Rhinolophus ferrumequinum: one gene and its partner. The protein of the gene in region 2 purifies or fractionates together with the protein of the main gene of each other region. This does not show direct contact. Links are inferred from orthologs where the notes say so. Each region holds a gene or a part of one and is shown on either strand. Other genes may lie near its edges.

Region 1 (9,980 bases), on a different chromosome or scaffold from region 2:
GGGTGTTCCTTTTTGGCCTAGCCATATCCTGCGTTCTTGTGTGGGGGGCGGGACCGGAGACCCCGCACGACACCCCGCACGACAGTCACTAACCTCTGGGCCTGTTTCCTCACATATATGTGAGGTTTATGGTTAGGGCCAAAATACGAGCACGTATGAGAAGTGTTTTATAAGAGCAAAGCACTATTCAATTTGTGGGTGTCATGATTGTCTTGTGTTCTCTGCCCACAGGCTCTTGAAGGTCTTTTCCCTTTTAAAACATCTACATATTTACAGAAATCACTTGCTTTCACCCAGTAATTTAGCTGGTAAAAACAAGGCACCAATTTTTGAAACATTTAAAGCAAAACAAATTTCCCTTATTCAATGTCTTTCAAAACTTTGAAGGTGAAGTACGCGTCTCTAGTTTTGTTCCAGTTGCTTCTTGACCTGTCTTTTCTTCTGGGGGTTGAATTTCTTAAACTTAACAACCAAGTGTCTGACAATATAGGCTTAGTTCAAAACGACCGAGGTGAAAGGAAAGTTGAGACGTGGATACAGGAAATACCAACAAGCTTTGAAGTGAGAAAATTCACCTGTTCTCACCACGAAGGAGCCCAGGAACTGTTTCAGGAGGGGGTGGAGTGTATATTCAAACTCACACCTGTGTCACAACAGCTGCAGCTCCTGGATATTATAACTGGGTCGAGGGACCCCCCCCTAGCTATCGTATGAAAAAACACTGATTTCCCCCATTACTACCATTGAATCTGAGCCCCACCAACTGTAAGATGTAGTTATTTTATGTGCCACCAAATGAAAGCAAGAATGCAAATGGAACTGTCACAAAGTTAATTAAGATAAATCCTAATTTTAGCAGGTGTTCAAAGTTGCAGAATCGATCAAACGGGCAGGGAGTGTCGCCTGCTTAGTTCAGTGGTGATCACCAGAGCCACCCACGGTGTGCGCAGTGAGAAGAGCACACAGCAGGCACCCTGTGCCCGACCCCACAGACCTGGATGAGGAAATGACACGTGGGCCGGCCCGAGGAAAACCATGGACGGCGACAGCGACCATCCCATGACCACACACTCAGCACCAACGGTGCTGCACGCTGAGCTGCTGTGAGCAGCCGAAGGGTTTCTCATTCCTCCCCCCTCCTCCCCCACCCCCTGGCCTTCTTTCCCCCTCCCCCACCCCACTCTGGTTCAAGCCGTTGTTTCTCAGTCTGGTTGTGTAGGACACAGCTCCCTGGCCCGTGCTGGTTACGAGAGTTGCGCTCCCCCGGCTGAGGGGGTCGGTCGCTGGTCGGCCGTTCACGGCAGCTCACGGCAGCTCTCGCCGGCTGCCGGCTGCTCACACTGGCCACCGGCCGCTCCTGGCAGCACATGGCAGCCCACAGGCCCAGGTGGAAAGTGAACCGGCGATCTTGGTGTTAGGAGCATGGTGCTCCAACCACCTGAGCCACCGGGCAGGTCCTCTCATTTCTTTCTAACATCACAAAGCTGTCTGTGCTGCTGGAGGACGGCTATATGTATGTTAGAGTAAAACTTTAGATTTCCTAAGACAACATGCAAAAAGAAATTGAGGTTGTCAATGAGATTAAAATGTCAGGCCAAGTACTTCCAAACTTGTGTTTCTATTTTGATAGAGTACAGCTGTGGCAGAGATCATGTTAATTTTGTCCCATCATCACTGTCTATGACGTTTACTTTGCAGTTGCTTTTCTGAAGACTCACTATACTCTGTGCAATGAACAAGAGATTCAGATGAGTAACTGTGGGTGATTGGGGTGCTAAGCGGACAGGGCCCCTGGACATGACAGAAACGCAATGGCTGCAAGTGTTTGCATGAGCATTTCAGACCCTGGACCCGCTCAGCAAGGGGGTTTGAGCAACAGGCTGTCTGGCTGTCTCAGCTCCATATGTACTGCATCTGGCCTTCTGTTCTTGTAAATAGCCAGGCTCCCGTTTGCCTGGATGTGCTTCCACTTCCAGCTAAGAAAACAGACGGAAGCTAACAGTGTTTTGGGGAAAAGTGACACATTAACAGATAATTAGCAAGCAATGCAGCTAAGTGCTACAATAGACACAAACTGGATATTCCAGAATCCCAGGGGAGTGGGGGTGAGAGGACCGGGAAAGTGATGCTGAATATTGGGAGTGGGTCAGGGGTGGAAATCTTTTCAGCATGAACAGAAGCAAGGCAGACACGTGATAAACGGGGTATTGTACACTAGGACCCGGGAATGCTCTGCTGTCGATGGAACGTGAAGCTGGCACATAGAGGATGAGCTGGGAAGAGGCTAGGGGAACAGATGACCTGAGGACTAGGAATTCCAGGGAGGTGGAGACGCCAGGTCAGTAGCACGGCTGAGCTACAAGTAGCTAAGGTCAGGCTAGAAATTTAGGGTTAAGAACCTTTAGTGTGTCTGGGGTACCTGAAACCACGAGAGGAAATGAAGTCTGTCAGGGAGATCCCTAACAAAACCGAGGCCAGGAAACTTTGATCTTCATTCCGCTTACTAGCAGACTTCCCCTAAAATTGTATTTTCTTTTCCGAGTGGTCTTTTGTGATTGCTCTTCAAAATAAACTAACAATGTCAGTACTGCGGGGAGATGATACCCATTCTTTCAAGTAGGCTCTAAATGTGTTAGGAATTAAACCAAACGTTATCTTGGTGCAATAGAAAACACCTTGGGCGTGCATTAGGATCTGCAGAACATATTTTGCATCAGGCAAATGCAATCCTTCAATGGCACCCCACTGCAACGCCAGTGGGGGGAGGACCAGGCGGATGACTACATTTTGAACTTCACGTCCCTCCGCCCTCCCCGCCCCGACTTACTGCTCGTCCAGCCATGCCTCCCGCCTCAGTTCGAACCTGTCGGCCTCCCCGCAGAGAGGCCTTCCTGGACCAGCCGGCGCAGAGGAGCGCCCTCCTTCCCTGATCCCCATGTCCGTTACTACACTCCACAATCTCTGCTTTAGTGATCTCGCCGCGCCCTCCGCCCCAGCTTTACTAGCACGAATGCTTCGAGGGTAGGAACTCTGTCTTCTGTCCTGTAACTGCAGCCCCGAAAGGTGTTGTTCTAATGATGGCGTGAATCAATGAGGAGCACAGCATAAATCAGGCTGAGCCTAGTACGTAAAGTACAGGACCCGGGTGGGACAGACGGGGTCTATTCTGAGCTTTCCTCCCACTGTGACTTTCCGCAGACGACCTAACCCCTGTGGGCCTCAGTCCCTCCACCGTAAAACCAGACTAGACCCGGCGGGAAGCGGTCCCCACGGTGCGAACACACAGAAGCACGCGGCAGGGGCGCGACTCAGCGCCCGACGTTTTCCCTGCTCTACCGGCGGCTCGGCCCAGGCCCCGGCCTTCAGCCCCGACCCGGCCGCCACGCGGCGCGGCGAACCGCCGGGCGCCCACCTGTCTCCCTCTGCGTCTTCACGCTGATGTACTGGCGCAGCTTCTTCACAGCCCGGTCCCGGACGCCCTTCTCGTGCGATGCCAGCCGCTGAGCGAACTGGATCTCGGCGGGCTGCATGGCGGGGGCCCTCGCGCCCGCTGGAGCATCCCCGGCCGCAGCCCCCGGCACCTCTGCCTCGCGCCGCGGCGCTGCCCGGGCCACGACTGCGCACAAGGCGGCGGGGGCGGGGCGGCGCGGAGGCGGCGCGCGGGCTGATGGCGTCACAAAAGCGCCCCGCAGCCGCCGCTCGCGGCGCGTTCTGGGAGCGAGCGCCGCGGGCGCCCTGGCGGGGGCCCTGCAGCTCCGGGCCCCGTTGCGTCACGCCATCGCTCCGCTGTCTTTCGGTCACCGTCACCGAAAGTCAGTGCCGTTGACAGCGAGGTTAGCCAGGATCGGGTCTCGGCCAGAAGCAGTCGGACGGCCGATTGTAAATGGTCTAGAATCTTTAGGTACATTCACAAAACCCCCCATTTGGCCCGGCAGCCATCCCACGAAACACATGGCACCGAGTTTTTAATTGTACTCCCCACACCGCCTCGGCCGGTGGACACCGGGACGAAGGGTCGTCCTTCGGGTTCTTGGCGGGTGTTGGGGGCAGCCCCATTGAGAGGTCTCTAGGGCCAGCGGAGGCGGCACCCTCGAGGGTCCCCTAGTGTCTTGGTCCCGGTGCTGGGGTAGGTCCCGGGGCAGGGGCAGGGGCGGCGCAGGCGGGAGCCGGGGTTTGCAGCGTGTCAGCCCTCGGGCATGGAGAGCAAGCATCCTGGGAATCAGCAATGTCAGCTTCCTGCGGGGTTCAGAGACGGACCCCGATTATTAATCGTGCAATAATCGGTCCAAGTCAACCCACCGGCTGCACCGTATTTTGCGAACTCAGTGGGCAAGCGGATGGACTAGGCGATGTCGCCACGTTCACGGTGCTCACTTCAGTTCTAGGCAGCTGGTGGGACTGACGTTCCCTACGGGGGGCCGGGGCAGACTTCCCGAGGACCCCGTTGTCAGAATGCTGGGGCCCTCGCTCAAGGAGCTTGGAGCGAGCAGGGGAGCATGGCCGCGGGCCGAACGGGTGGTGGTTCCTCGACGGCTTCGCCCTTAACTCTAGCACCTCTCGCCAACCAGGGAAAGCCCGATTCTATTCATTTCATTTGACATTTACACCTGGGTCCCACTGTCTCTCTACTTTGCAGTTAACAAGTTGAAAGCCCCCGCTAAGCCAGAAGAGCTGACGCGGGTCGAGCGAGCCCACCCCTAGTTCGTGGGGCTGAGAGGGCGGCGCGCACGACGAGGTTTGAGCCTCGTGCCTCGCCGTACCCGACCCCAGGCCCATAGGGACGTAGTCTCGCGCTTCTTCCCGCGCTTTCTGCCGTGAGGGGGTCAGAGGGCGCGCGTGCTGCGCAGGCGCAAGCAGCCGGAGCCGAGGCTGGTGGCCATGGGCGAAGCCGGAGGCGCTGAGGAGGCCCGCCGGGTGAGTGAGCAGGCCGGCGTGTTCGCGCTGCCACCATTTGCTTTCTCGCGCCGCCCTGAGGCCCGTGTGGGCCTCGCCCAGTGCGCGCAGGACCAGCCCTGGGCCCGTCAGCAGACGGCGTGGCCGGGGCGACCTGCCTGCGAACCGGGTGCGGGTCCCGGAGGCCGCAGCCGGGGGCGGTGGGCGCTCGTGGGAGGGGACGGCGGTGCCGCTCTGCCTCCTACGCCTGGCGTCCCCGAGCCCGCGACGCTGTGATGCTCGTGTCCGGCTTACTGTCCGTAGGACGGTCAGGGCTGCGCCGTCGTCGCTTCCGCGGCACGTGGTGTAGGGGGAGGGGCCGGACCCGCGTTCGGAGCCTGTGGGGTCCCGCTTAGGGCGGCGCTTCGAGGAAGCCCCCCGCCTCCCTCTGCCTGCGGTCCTGGCGCGGCGGGGCAGGCTGGGCGCGTCCACGGGCGTTCGCTGACACTCCCCTTGCCTCCTGCTGAGCGCGGCGCCGAAACGCTCGGAGAAGGGCGCTGGCGTTTTGCTGGGCTTCTGGCGGCGGGCGTCGTGGGCACTGAAAACAGTGGCTCCCGTGGGGAAGGCGGGGCCTCTGGGCCAAGCCGGGCCACGGCCGCAGACGGCGCGCCGGGTAAAGCCGGGCTTCTGTTCTGCAACGACGGCCGGCCGACGGCTGCTGATGGCCGTTGTCTGCACAGAAACGTGATACTCCTACCATCTGCTTGTTCTTCCAGCACGTGGGGACCAAAGAAGAGTATGTGAGAGTCAGAAAGAAGGACCTGGAACGGCTGACGACGGAAGTGATGCAAATACGGGACTTCTTGCCCAGAATCCTGAACGGGGAGGTGTTGGAAAGCTTCCAGAAGTTAAAGGTTATAGAAAAAAGTGAGTTTTCCTTCGTCTCCAACGGCCCTTAATGCTGGGAGCGATCTGTCCCAGCAGGTTTACGTTCCGTGGATACCTGTGACGCAATTGTCAACAACCTGGAAGGAACAGTTACAGTCCTTAACTACGTTTGGGGGAATCACAAGAGACGGAGGAGCTCGCAGGAGTAGTTGGGGGACATGCAAGGTTTTGTTGGAGGGTTGCTAGCTTTCTGAAGTGTCCGTTACCACCTTCTCTTTCTGTCCACCTCTGTTCCTTGGCAGAACTTCCTCCTCTGGTGGTTGAAAGTTCTAAGAGGTTCTTACTGGTGTAGGTTAAGGACCTTGCCTTGTGGAAACCTTGCACAGACTTAAATGTGTCTGTAGCCGTGGCTGCATGTGGGTTGATTTGTCTCTGGGTTGATGGACGGGTCAGCCTCTGGCCCTGATTTGAGGTCAGCCTTGCCAGGACATGCCCAGTGCCCACTCAGACGGGAGATTGGAGCTGAGCTGTCATGTCACATATCAGTCTAGCAGCTGATGGAAGTGCTTGGCGGTGTTCCAGGATTGAGTCAGCAATTGCCTAATTGAGGCTGAATTACAATTAAATCAGTCTTCAACGTTCCAGGCTAATTCACCACAGTGCGTTGGACTGTTTGCCGTCCCCCTTAGGAAAGGTGCAGCTGGGGGGCCTGGGTTGTGTTTGGAGCACTAGTCCAGACAAGAAGGCATCTTCCCAGTACAAGTTTCTGCTTTGTGCAAATGCGTCTGCTCAAGGGGCAGCCATATCCAGTGAGGAGGGAGAATGCTCGTGGCCACCATAGCTCCCTGCCCTGTTTATCCTCTTTGGAATCCTCGGATCTGCTGTCCTCTGCTCTGGGAGGTGGACTCCCCCACACCGCTTGCACTGGCTCCCTTGCTGACTGCCAGGAGGGCTCACCAACGGAAAGCGTCAGTGGGTGGAGAGAGGTTGGGTGTTTCTTCCTGCTCCCTCTGCAGCTGTGACCCCCACCCAGGGGCCTCCCCCACCAGTCTCAGCTCTCATTGGGCTCCAGTAACACTGTTTTCTCCGCTCATTCCTTCAGCTGGAGGGCTGTTGCCTGTCACTCTGCTGGGTGGCTATGTTTCTCACTGCAGAGTAATAAACTGGCAGTCTGCAAAACACATCAGGGTCTCATGGATGATAAGCATGAGTCAGTCTTTGGAGGTCAGTCCTCTACCAAAGTCAAATTGTGCTTATAAAAGCAAGGGCCACAAACGAATCTGGGGGGACTTGGTCAAGGTTAGACTTCTGGAGATCTTGTCCCGCACTCCCTGGCCTTCCCCACGGATGTCTTGGGCCACTTCTCTGTCTCCTTTGCTTATCACCCTTCTGTGCAGCAGCCTGTTAGCCGGTGGAGACTCAGCCCTGGGCCCCCTTCTCCCCTTATCTGTGCACACACAGCATTAGTTACCATCTGGGTGCCAGTGGTTCCTGGATGTAGCTGTAGCTCAAACCTCTCCTCCAGGCTCAGAACCCTGACTGTAAGTCCTACTTGGCATTTCTCTCATGTGTTTCATAATCACTTCAAATTCTAATTGTCTCATCTTAGCCTAATCAGTCTATGACTATCAGGAAGGACCTAGAGTCTCACAAGGTCAGGTTTATGGCTCATGGCAGGGAGGGAGACCACCCACCAGAGGAACTGGGCATCTTGCCAACAGAGGAAAGGATGGAGCTGCTGTAGGATTTGGGGCAGGGTGGAGTCCAGCTGAAGTGCAGGGGAAGCTGTATTTCTGTGGCTCCAGGCAAAGGAGGGCTGCATCAGGGGTCAGCATCAGGTCTCCCTGCAGTGGACGCGGGTCCCGTTTCCTGGAAAACTACAAAATTGAGGTAGATGTGGAATTTAGTGCCTGCAAATCCTTCTTTGAGGTTCTGTGGCTCCTGGAAGCCACGCTGCTGCCCTGTGTCACAGTGCCTTTGGTCCCACAGGCGAGAGTAGGATGTGTCCTCTTCCTGGTGTAAGCAAAATTTCTGATAGTGGGGATTTTACAGACTAAGCTTTCTCTGAATAAGAAACCACTCATGAAAGGGGTCACGATGACGCTTACAGTGCAGTGTGTCCTTGGGAGAAATATTGTTTCCTGTTAACTTGGCAGTTGGCTTCATGTGTATCTGTTATCCCAGCCCGACAAACTACAGGACAGTTTCACTTTCTCAGAGCAAGCTGGTTTTTACTTTCTCGCGGTTGACTCATGACATCCGTCCCTCCACCCCACCGAAAACTGGCTGCCTGAGCCTCCCCAGGGCACCGACATTCAGATGAGGGGCCAGGATCCTCCTTGCTCCCCATCTCCTGCTCACCATTCAGCCCCCACCTGTCTATCAGAACATCCTAGAGGTTTCCCCTCACGGACACGTCCTGAGTCCGTCAGCCTGCCGCCATTGTCACTGCCACCACCCAAGTCCAGGCCCCTCTCATTTCGCCTGAATCTCTGCCCCTGGCACTGTCCACTTGTTGGCACTCTCCAGTCTGTTCTATACACTGTAGCCAAGTAATTTTTAACAATTCAGTCTGATTATTCATTCCCCGGCTTACGTCTTCAATGGCTTCTCTTTGCTGTTAGGGTAAAGACCAAAAACCAAAGAGAAAACCCACCAAAACCCACAATCACTCAAGAACCTAAACAGAACTGTGCCATGGCCTGAAAGGCTGTGTCATTGGGCTCAGCCTCAGGCCCAGTCTCACTTCCTTATTGGACAGCCTGGACACGTGTGTCCCTTTTGGGTGTTGTCAGAACGCCCTGCACGGTTACCTCAGACAAAATGGTTTATTCCCATCTTATGGTACAAGTATGTTCCCTGTGCAGGGCTGAATACTTGGTCCCAGGGGACCGCCACCCTTCTAAAGTGGTGTCCCCTGAAGCTGGATGTGCTACAGGAAACCGAGTGTTAAAGGAAGGATCCAAGTGGATTGCGGTGGCGGCAGGAGGTTTTACCGGGAACTTTGAACTTCAGCTGGCCGTTGGAGACGTCTGCCCTGGCCTAAGGCCTGACTAAGGCCTCTTCCCCGACCCACCTTCTGTTTTTAGTTTTGGTTGTTATGTAACAAAAAAAAGATAGAAGTTGCAGAGATAAGGAGTTGCAAAAGTAAAGATTTCTTAAACAGCTCTCTTTGCAACATCAGGATGCTTTTCATTTAAACTGATGTTGAAGCTTGAAATCAGAAGGGTGAGATATTTTTGTTTCACAATTAAATCACAAGGTCTAATCCTTGCCTTAATTGACAAGTGTTCATTTTGGAGAGAGAGGATGAAAAAGCCATTGCCTGTTTAAATCTCCATTGTCTTATAGAAAATACCTTTCAAATGTGTTATGTTGCATTTGAGATGTTAAATGGTGTAATTTAAAAACAACTTGAGGGCCTGCCCGGTGGCTCAAGTGGTTGGAGCGCTGTGCTCCTAACAGCGAGGTCGCTGGTTCGATTCCCACATGGTTGCTGTGAGCAGCCAGAGGTCGGCCATAAGCTTGCCAGTGGCCAATGTGAGTGGCCGGCAGCCAGCGTGAGCGGCCATAAGCTTGCAGTCTCATTTCTGACATTTAAAAAGCTGCAACATTGGTTTTAATGTGTTAAAATTTATTTGTTTATTTAGATGTATTTTAACGGTAATACTGTGAAGCACCCTTGTTTGTTTACTGAACATCAGCAGTGACTACAAACCAGCACAGGCATGATATCCTGGAGAGAGATTTGACTAACACACTTCCTTGAACGGTGGAAAAAAAAGTTGCTTTGTGTAATTTCAAATCGACAGCCCTCCCTGACCTCTGTCAGCATGGTCCAGTACAGCTTTCTGTGATGCGGAAGGTGGATAATCCCTGCTGTCCGCCTCTGGTGTAAAATAGCCACTACTATATGTGGCCAACTGACCCCCTCATTTAGCATTAATTAGTTTTGTAATGATTTTTCACTTGGTTGTTTTTTATTTTAGTTCCCTGATGAAATCCTCTTGTTGCCTATTTTCGGGAGCATATTATTTAGTTATTTTAAACTCTGAGTCTATAAATCCAATACCTGGATCACCCCTTGGCCTGCTTTTCTCATCCAATTCTCCTCTGGGTCATTCTGGTAATTTTTTGTTGGTTAATGGACTTTCTGAATGAAAACTTGTAGAGGCTCTGGATAAATAGTTTTCTCCGGCAAGGATTTCTTTCCTCTGGCT
Region 2 (9,758 bases):
ATACAGAGGGTGCCAAAAAAATGTATACACATTTTAAGAAAGGCAAGAACTATTAAAATTGTAATACTCAATATATACCGATAACCAAAGATGAATACAAGTCACGTTTGACTTCTGCAATTACGAGAGGTGCTCAAAGTGGTTCCCATTAGCGTCCAGATACGTCTGATTACAGCGAACTACTGCTTGAGCAACGTTGACCAAAGTGTCCACGTGTATACATTTTTTGGCACCCCCGGTATTTTAATATTGAGTAGCCCATGAGATATGTAAGGAGATAAACAGTAGGCAGTTGTAGTTAGTCTGAAGCAGGAGAAGGATCTGTTCTAAAAATTTGGGAATAATTAAAAAATGGTAATTTTGTTAAGGTAGTAGATGAGATTATCCAGGGAAAGTATAGTAAGAAAAGAAGACTGAGAAGGGAGCTCAGAAGCATACCATTGTATTTACTAAATAGCAGAGAAAAGGATCCCACTGAGAAGGGATAAGAAGAGGGCACAAAGCCCAGAAGTAGGAGGCTTTCAAAAGGAACTAGAAGACAAGCCTGAAATGGCCACTGGACTTGGCAAAAAAAGACATTTGACATGAAGAGCAACCATATTAATAGTATTGAGAGTAGAAGCCACTTAGCAGTGGATTCATCAGGAAATGGGAAACGAAGTAGGGACAACAAACACGAATATGTCTTCCAGAAATTTGGCTGTAAATCCAAATAGGGAAGAATAAGATAAAGCTGGGAGTAGGACGGACATGAGATTACAGTTGAAAGTTTTATGTGTGTATGTGTGTGTGTTGGGGGTGGGAGGAGATGAGGGAAATTTCAGTATGTTGTAATATTAATATAGGAAGGAGCCAGGAAGGGAGGAGGTAGTAGGCTAGGAGATTTGAGGCAAGTGGAGAAATGCTGAGGTATCAACTGCAGGACTAGGTGAAGAACTCACTAGGCAATCAGGGTAGCTTTGAGGGTCCAGCATAGATTAGAAACTGAATTTGTAGTGGCAGCAGCAGGAGTGATTGAATGTTTTCCTGTAGCAACACTCAGCATTCTGTTGTAGGAATGGAGATGGGAGACAGTTGATTGATCCAGGACTAGGGTTTTGCTCTGTGAGATGAAAGGATGACAAGGTGAAAATGTTAAGGATGCAGCAAAAGTGATTAAGTGTAATGGTCCCTGTTGTGTAGACTGCCTAGCGATTGAAGTGAAGGTGGGGTTGATTACAGGGAGAGTGTAAAAGGGCCAGGGGGCTGAAGGTCAGTGAGGGATGTCTGAATTTGAGATTTCAAGAGTGGAGCAGTTGGGAAGACAGGTGCAGGGTGTGGTAGTAGGCCTGTTGGGGGCAAAGGTTATGTCGGGGTGGTCAAAGCACTGAGAAGCCACGTGTTATATGTGTGGTTTTCATGGGCAATGAAATCTAGAGTGAAGACAAACCAGGAGTGAGGAGGGAGCGGAAGACTAAGCCAGAGGCCCAAATATCAGTGAATGGTGGAGGTTAGTGAATTACCTGAATGAGGAGTATAGGGTGATCATACCCCATATCTTCAAAGGGACACGGGCATTTACATGAAAATGAAGGAGTTTAGAAATGGCTTACCGGAAAAGGACACTTGACACCAGGCAGGGTACATGGAATGTGAGGGAATGAGAAACGTGAGAAAGCTGCAGGGGAGTATTTTTCCGGAAGAGCCAGATTTCAGTTAAGCCAAGGAGGGGGGGAAGGACTCAATGCTGACAGAGAAAGGAGCAAGTTTTGGTCATGGGGAACGGGGCTCCAGATAGCTATAACGAGGGGCAAAAATCGCAGTTGGCTCTGCATTTGAATAATTGTGAGAGCTGGGTTTATACCCCAGATGAAATAGGGGCTACATTTCTAGGTGCATGAGTCAGAATATGTTGTGTATCTACAGTGTTTGGGGTACAAAAGTAAGGAGTGCTCAGTCTCTGCCCCCAGGAGCTCAGAATCTAGTGACATAGTTGGACACCCAAAGTTAGTCCATGGCAATGACTAAGTGCAACGATTTGAGAGCTCTGCACAGGGCACTTAGCCCAGGGTTCACAGAAAGATTCTGGACATGATGACTGCACATGAATTACTCATACGTCAGGGAAAATACAGGTCTAAGTATGATGAATGATAAGTAGCTCTTGTTGCTGGGATCTTCACTATGAGGAAAGCAGTGGTAAGAACATGGCAAGAGTCCTATTTGGAAGGCGGCATAGACCTTGTTTTGGATAGCCACTGAAGCGTTAGGTAAGAGTGAAAAAGAAGCATGTAGCAGGGTGGACATGGATTTAAGGGGTCCACTTGCTAAAGGCTGGCTTCCCTATTAGCAAGGAAAGGGGAGCAGATAATAAGATTAAATAATTGCTTTCCATATCTTGGAAGAAGAAGCGGGGCAGGGAAAATTCCTTATCAAATTCTCAGCTTTGGGCTACATTCTGCCACTTATCTTGACTTCTTCCTCATAGAGCCAGAACCTTCATGGCGCCACCTTTTGGCAGTTTAGAGCCTCCAGTTTGGTACATTGCCTTAGTGTGGTCACCTAACATGTATTTGCACTTGAATCCATTGCCCTGATCTTCAGGTTTTTAATTTGTTGTTTTTTTGTGGGTTTTTTTTTTTTGGGGGGGTGTTTTTATTTTTCAATTACAGTTGATATTCAGTATTTTATATTAGTTTCAGGTGTCCTGAACTTCAGTTTTTGAATTTGTAAATAATATCTGTTTTATTCCCTTCAGCATTAGACTCCTGACTAACGAATTCACATTTAGGTGTGAATGTGTGAGAGCCTCCTTTCACATTATTTTTATTTCATATATTTGGGGGTAGTGCTTAATAATTTAAAAATCATATTACTTTTAAAAATATTAGTATTATATATCCATTGTTGAAAATTTGAAACAATAGAGATATGGAAAAAAATAAAACCCCCCATAATCACATCACTCAGATAATGACTGCAAACATTTTGTTGTGTAAACTTTTTTTTTTTTAAAGACTTTATTGGGGAACAGTGTGTACTTCCAGGACTTTTTTTTTTCCCCAAGTCAAGTTGTTGTCCTTTCAATCTTAGTTGTGGAGGGGGCCGTTCAGCTTCAAGTTGTTATCCTTTCAGTCTTAGTTGTGGAGGGCGCAGCTCAGCTCCAGGTCCAGTTGCCGTTGCTAGTTGCGGGGGGCGCAGCCCACCATCCCTTGCAGAAGTCGAACTGGCAACCTTGTGGTTGAGAGCCCACTAGCCCATGTGGGAATCGAACCAGCAGCTTTCGGAGTTAGGAGCCTGGAGCTCCAACCGCCTGAGCCACCGGGCCGGCCCCTTGTGTAAACTTTTAAATTCATTGTTTGTGTGCATGTATGTATACATACTTTGTGAAACATTCTCCCCCCCCCAATTTTTTGAAAATATATTACATCTACATCAGAGGAAACTAGTCTGGCATAGTTTATATGTCGAGCAGAACTCCACATTTCTATCAAACGTATATAAGAGTCATTTCTTCTACATATTACTAAGTTTTACACTGATGATTAGATTCAATCCATTAGTATGGTCACCTCTGAGCCAGAAACGGCCTTTTGCATGTTTCCTCTTAGAATTTTGGCCTTGTGCCTATGTGCAGGTATGTTATAAAGGAACTTACATACTTTACAAGCCTTGACAACAGTTTTCCATTTAGTAGTGTTCTGGGCTTACTCTCTTGCTCAACATCTGTTGGTAATAAAAATGTCCTTGTACTGTTTACAGCAGTATCACATAGTATCAAGGAGTTCTGTGGTTTTATCAACCAGATTGTCATTTATCAACTTGAGGCAGGGACTGGTCCTTCACTTATGTACTCCAAAGTCTGCAGTACAATGCTTAAATTAGATGTTAAGCATTTTGTTAATCAGCTGGTTGACTGCATTCATGTTTCCCCCCCTTCTCTCATATCTAATACCAGGGTGACTGAATTGCTTTCCTACCTGGGTATATAGTTAAAATCTACTTCAAGGGTTCCATCTCCCCATCTCCACTCCCACATTGCCAGGCACTGTCTGAAATCTTAAGGATACAAAAATGGATAAATCAAGGTTCCTGGCTTAAGGCTATCACAACGTATAAAAGCACTATTGTAGATTTACCTAAATTTATCTGTTAAAAAATTGAGACTCGGGGTGGCCAGTTAGCTCAGTTGGATAGAGCACAGTGCTCTTAACAGCAAGGTTGACGGTTCGATCCCCACATGGGCCACGGTGAGCTGCGCCCTCCACAACTAGACTGAAACAACTACTTGGAGCTAATGGGTCCTGGAAAATCACACCTAACTAAATAAAAGTTAAAAAAAAAATTGAGACTCTGAAACATCAAATAATTTATGTGAAACAAAATGCAGTAAAAACTAATCTTATGAAATACAGAAACAAAACTTCCAGCATTTTCCTGTCATAAAATAATTACATTTTGAATTGTCTTTCTAAACACCTTGAAACACCTGAGTTTTAATAGCTCACATTTATTATGCTGCTAAATCCTTTTCATTCATTAATTTTCTCAACCCGATGAAGTAGGTTTTGTTATGCCCATTTTATGCATGAGAAACTCAGGCTCAGACTAAGTAACGTCCAAAATCACAGTAAATAGGGCAAGTTTTCAAAGCCAGGCGTGATTTCAACCCATTTTAAAAAATGATTTTATGATAAATTGGCTCCCAATTCTTTGGTCACTAGTTCTTAAGAGGAAGTTTAGCACCATTACCATAGATCGTTCAATGCACCACTTTATGTCAACTGCTTTATTTTCCAAATTATTCAAGACTAGGAGACCTTGTGTTTTTTAATAGAGGTTACGTGGTTTGCGGACCCCTTTTGGTTCCAAGGCCGGTTTAGGTGTCTCTATTTGCCTTCAGAACAAGTGACACTCGTCTATTTCCTACCAGTCTCACCCTATATCTTGTACGTAACACGGTGAATTCTTAGGGGATGTTTGTTGAGTGCATGAATGAACGACCGCACTCTACTGAATTCTAGTTCTAAACCAGGCTTGTAAGTCTGGGCGCCTCCTTTCAGTGTTGACTAAAGGATCAAGAATACACATCTCGCAAGTATTTGCAAACTCGAGCAATATCTAAAGTACCGAACAGGAGCCACTCAAAAGCTGCTACAAGTCTGTATTTATCGGGCCCGGACTAGCGAGAATCTGACTAGTGTTTGAACGATAACACAAAGCCAACCTTGGTGGTTCCTTCTAGTTCGACCCTTCTATAAGTACCTTCTGGTTTAGACGCCGTAAGCAGTCAATTCACTACGCCCAAGCAGCGCGAGCAGCCAGTGCTTAAGAACTACCACGTGGGGATCTGCCTTCGTGGAGATTTCAGCTTCCGGGGGAAAGGCTTTCGTAGGCTTTTGTCACAGGAAGTGACGAAAGCTGGGTGGGCCCAAGGGTTACTTTAGTCTCTTCCTCTCCACGCGGTGGACGAAATTGGTCGCTCTACGCAGTCTGTGCAGAGTGATGCCTGGGAAACTCCTTAGTGACGCGGATTTGGAATCAGACACGGCCATGGGGAAAATGGAGATACCTCGAAAGCAAAATGAGAAGGTGCCACCGAGGGCCGAGGGACCTGGGGCAAGGCAGGACGAGCGGCCGGGGCGCTGGGGGGAGCGGGGCCGCGGAGTACGAAGAGGAGGGGTGTCCCGGCTGGGAGCGCGTGGGGGCGCGGCGCTGACCGGCCTCGTGCGGAGACCCGCGTGGGTTTCGGACAAGGAACGTCCAGGAGTGGTGGTCTCCGCGGGCGATGGGCGCGCTGCCGCGCTCGGGTAGTTCTGGCCGAGAGGCCCGGACCGATCGGAACTGGAGGGATGGCCGGGTGTCCCACGTGGTCCCGGAGTCTGGGCGCCCTGCACCCGGTGCGCAGAGTTGTAAGTTCACGGTTAGGCCCCACGTTTTGGCTCAGACTCAGACCTAACTCCAGGCGAGTGCGTTCGCGGAGGGAATCGTAAGTCAAGGTAGGGACTGACTTTTAGACTAAACCAGCGAGACTTGAACCCACCTGTACAGGTACACGTGGGCGGCGTCAGCAGTGACATTCTTTTTACCCTATTAAGTGAAGTACAGTTTGTTTTCCGGTAAGCAACCCTTAGAAGAAGTAATTCGGTTCCTCTTAATGTTTATTCTCCAGATTACCCGTGGAAATGTAAAGCCTCCTGTGGTGCTAACTGTACACTATATTTTTGAGATAGGCCAGCAGAATTCAGTAGCCATAAATTACCTTGATAGCTGTCTGCCTCCTTGCTGTTGCTTCTGTAGATAGTGATATAACTGTAAGGTCAGTGGGAACAAAGATTGTCCCTGCACTTGTATACGATTTAGAATTTTCCTTCCTTGTTGTGTCTGGGTCTTTTTTATGGGGAGTTTTTACAACAGCAATATTTTGGTGGTGTAGAAGCCGAAGAAGCACAGACTTGTCTTCACAAATGGTGAGGAGGTGGTCCTGCTTTACCTGCTGTGCATCATTGAACGTGTTCAGTTGTGGGACGCTCAGATTAGGAGGGACATGACCAAACTCCACTGTGTTCCAGAAGAGACCAAGACTCTTCAAATTGGAGAAGACTCCAATTTGGTGGAACCAAGGGATGAGAGAACTGAAGTCTTGGATGGGGGACCAGATTATTTTTCAGATGTCTGAAGGACAGATCTTGTGGGAGAGATTACCCCTCATCCATGATTTGAGAGCAGAGGCCAGGCCTGAAGTTTCAGGGAGGCAGATTTCAGCTCAGTGTAGTCTTTACTTCCGGGATTGTGCTGTAGCTCTGCCAGAGAGGTTTTAACAGGCTACAACATCTAATTGTTTTCAGTAATAAAGTTTTTAGTAATATGAAAAGTTGGATAGGTCAGACATTTCAGGTAGGAGCCATAATCTGGTTTGGTTTTGAGGTTTCACTCATTGCACTTCCTTGAAACTTTTCTTCTTCTTTTTTTTTTTTTTTTTTTTTAAGATTTTATTGGGGAAGGGGAACAGGACTTTATTGGGGAACAGTGTGTACTTCCAGGACTTTTTTTTTTTCCAAGTCAAGTTGTTGTCCTTTCAATCTTAGTTGTGGAGGGCACAGCTCCGCTCCAGGTCCAGTTGCTGTTGCTAGTTGCAGGGGGCGCAGCCCACCATCCCTTGCAGGACTCGAGGAATTGAACTGGCAACCTTGTGGTTGAGAGCCCACTGGCCTATGTGGGAATCGAACTGGCAGCCTTTGGAGTTAGGAACATAAAGCTCTAACCGCCTGAGCCACTGGCTGGCCCCACTTTTTTTCTTCTTTAAATTAGGTACATCTTTTTTACACGTGGGGTGATAGGTTGTGGGTTTTTACAGCTTTTTGGTTCAAAAAGTGTCTCTGTAAAATCATTTGCACTTGTGAGATAGGCAAGGCAGGTATGAATTCTTGTTTGACCTGTGCAGGAATTCTAGCAAAGAAGTCTGCTTAATATTATTTATCCGTGGACATGTATGTCCTATTACTCTATCAGAATTAAACTGTATTTAGTTTAGAGCCTGTTGGAGCATCCCACGAGCCACCCCAAATCCCTTGTGAAAATTTGATTTTACAATTTGTTTGACCAGTATAAATTAAATAATTACAAAGAAGCATTCTCTTCCAAGCTCATGAAATTACTAATATGTACTTACCTCCATAAAGCTAAGAAATAGTACTAAAAAGGATACTGTTTGATTTTTGCCTTGTTGCAAGGTAAAAGTACAGATGTTGAAAAATACCCCAAATTGTGTTCTTCTTAATTATGTGATTTTGTAATAATCTAGAATTGGTGTATTATACAATACAAATGAATCAGATTCTCTGTTCAATTTTTGTATTTTCTTTATTGATTTTTTTTTTTTTTTTTAGAAAGGTAGAAAAAAGGCAAAATCTGAAGAGGCAGCAGAAGAAAAAGAAGAAGTTGTTTCCCCCAAAGCTAAAAAAGTTAAAAAGAAAGCAGAGACTTCTGAAGTTGACATGATTTCTCCTAAATCCAAAAAGGCAAAAAAGAAAGAGGAGCCATCTCAAGATGACATTATTTCTTCTGAAACCAAACGTGTAAAAAAACCAAAGGAGCCCACTGAAAAGAAAGTTGTTGCTTCTAAAACCAAAAAAGCAATAAAAAATGATGAGCCTTCTGAAGAAGAAATATCTGCGCCTAAGCCCAAGAAGATGAAGAAAGAAAAGGAAATGAATGGAGAAATTGGAGAGAAAAGCCCCAAACTGAAGAATGGGATCTCTCATTCTGGACCTGATTCCAACTCCAAGGAAGCTACCAGTGAAGAAAGTAACAGTGAGTTAGAGCAGGTGAAGTTGTATTTAAATATGTAGAATGTATTTTTTGTTATTGTTTCAGATAAATAGGTAGGTTATTGATACATATTGTTTAATAAAGGGAGGAAATTTGATATGTCAGCACTTCATGGGGGATCCTTTGAGCATAGTGTCAGAATGCCTCCTTTGCAAGTAAACATATCTGTTTAAGTTTGGGGGAAATCTCTCAAGATGTCAACCAGCGTATTTGCATGTCAAAAATCAAGAGGAGGGATATAGTCATGCAAATAGACCCTAGCTTCCCTCTGAAGGATTTCACAAAATAAATCTCGATTAAGTGGAACCACTGAAAGCTATTTGCTGGATTGCATTAATCTCTTTGTTTAGGCCGTTAATCTGAGTTGAACAAGATGAATAAATGTCTGCATTTGGAAGTTCTGTTACCTTTCAGAAACTCAGTCATCAAAGAAAAACCCTAATTTTAATAAACAATTTTGTGTTTGGTATAGGTCGTGATCAGCATTTAAAATTTGTTTTCCGATGATTAAAGTATATGATATAGAGAATTTAGGAAATACAGAATTGTATCAAAAAACTCCCTAGAATTTCTGCATTGAATTTTGATGTTTCCTTATAGTACTTTTTATATATGCAACTACTTTAAATCAGGTTAGGATTGTACTATGTGCAATCTCGTATCATGCCTTTCCCATTTTTATATAAGCATTTCTCCCACTTTTATTAAATATTTAATTGCATATACTTATTAAATAAAAATATTAAATCTTTTTCATGGTTACATAATCATAAATATTTAGAAATTCACGTAATCTGTTGGGCATTCAGATTTTTTACTATCAAATAATGGCACTGACCACTTTATCATAACTATTTGTTCCTTATTTTCTATGGCCAAATATGACATGTTGCTGTGGAAAAGGGCTGATGACCTGTTCAACAGTATATTGAGATTGAATCTGCCTTCACTAGCCACACATAGTACATGTACAGTATATATTTGCTATAGATATTTCTTTTGTTAGGGTTTTATAGATTATTACAATATATTTCCTTTTCAGATCTTCATTTAGCTACCGAGTGTCTTTTTGGTTGATTGAGAAGAGATGATTTTAAAATAGGTTCTTTCGTTTCTTAAAAGACTTCTCTGTATTAACTGTAGGAGTAAAGTTATTGATTTCTTTTCTGTGGCCCTTTACTTGATAGGAAATACCTGTGGAACAAAAAGAAGGAGCTTTCTCTAATTTCCCCATATCTGAAGAGACTATTAAACTTCTCAAAGGTAATATTTTTGGAAATGTATAATTTAGAACATTATTTGGAAGCACTCCACTGTTTTTGTTGAGGTGAATTAGGATATGTTCTTGTTGGAGGACAATATATGCAACCAACTAATTGGACTAGATCTATATATTCAATATAGGACTATTCCAGTGATGGTCCTTTGCTGCCTCTTAAACAGATGGT

Evidence for each region. The genes of interacting proteins can lie anywhere in the genome.
Region 1: the proteins of DDX21 (region 2) and RRP1B purify together in Homo sapiens (affinity purification with mass spectrometry; 3 studies listed by BioGRID and IntAct, with this or other methods). This does not show direct contact. The link is inferred for Rhinolophus ferrumequinum from reciprocal best matches to the Homo sapiens genes DDX21 and RRP1B.

Annotation. Positions count from the first base shown.
Region 1 is NC_046285.1:107,111,204-107,121,183, reverse strand, and holds the start of RRP1B (ribosomal RNA processing protein 1 homolog B), read right to left. Parts: upstream 4,057-9,980; coding exon 3,983-4,056; intron 3,902-3,982; exon of another isoform or gene 3,722-3,901; intron 3,712-3,721; coding exon 3,413-3,711; intron 1-3,412. Other genes in the region: HSF2BP (heat shock factor 2-binding protein), read left to right, coding at 4,879-4,914, 5,649-5,799. UniProt on the Homo sapiens protein: Positively regulates DNA damage-induced apoptosis by acting as a transcriptional coactivator of proapoptotic target genes of the transcriptional activator E2F1.
Region 2 is NC_046299.1:47,390,872-47,400,629, forward strand, and holds the start of DDX21 (nucleolar RNA helicase 2), read left to right. Parts: upstream 1-5,399; 5' UTR 5,400-5,484; coding exon 5,485-5,571; intron 5,572-7,868; coding exon 7,869-8,306; intron 8,307-9,497; coding exon 9,498-9,573; intron 9,574-9,758.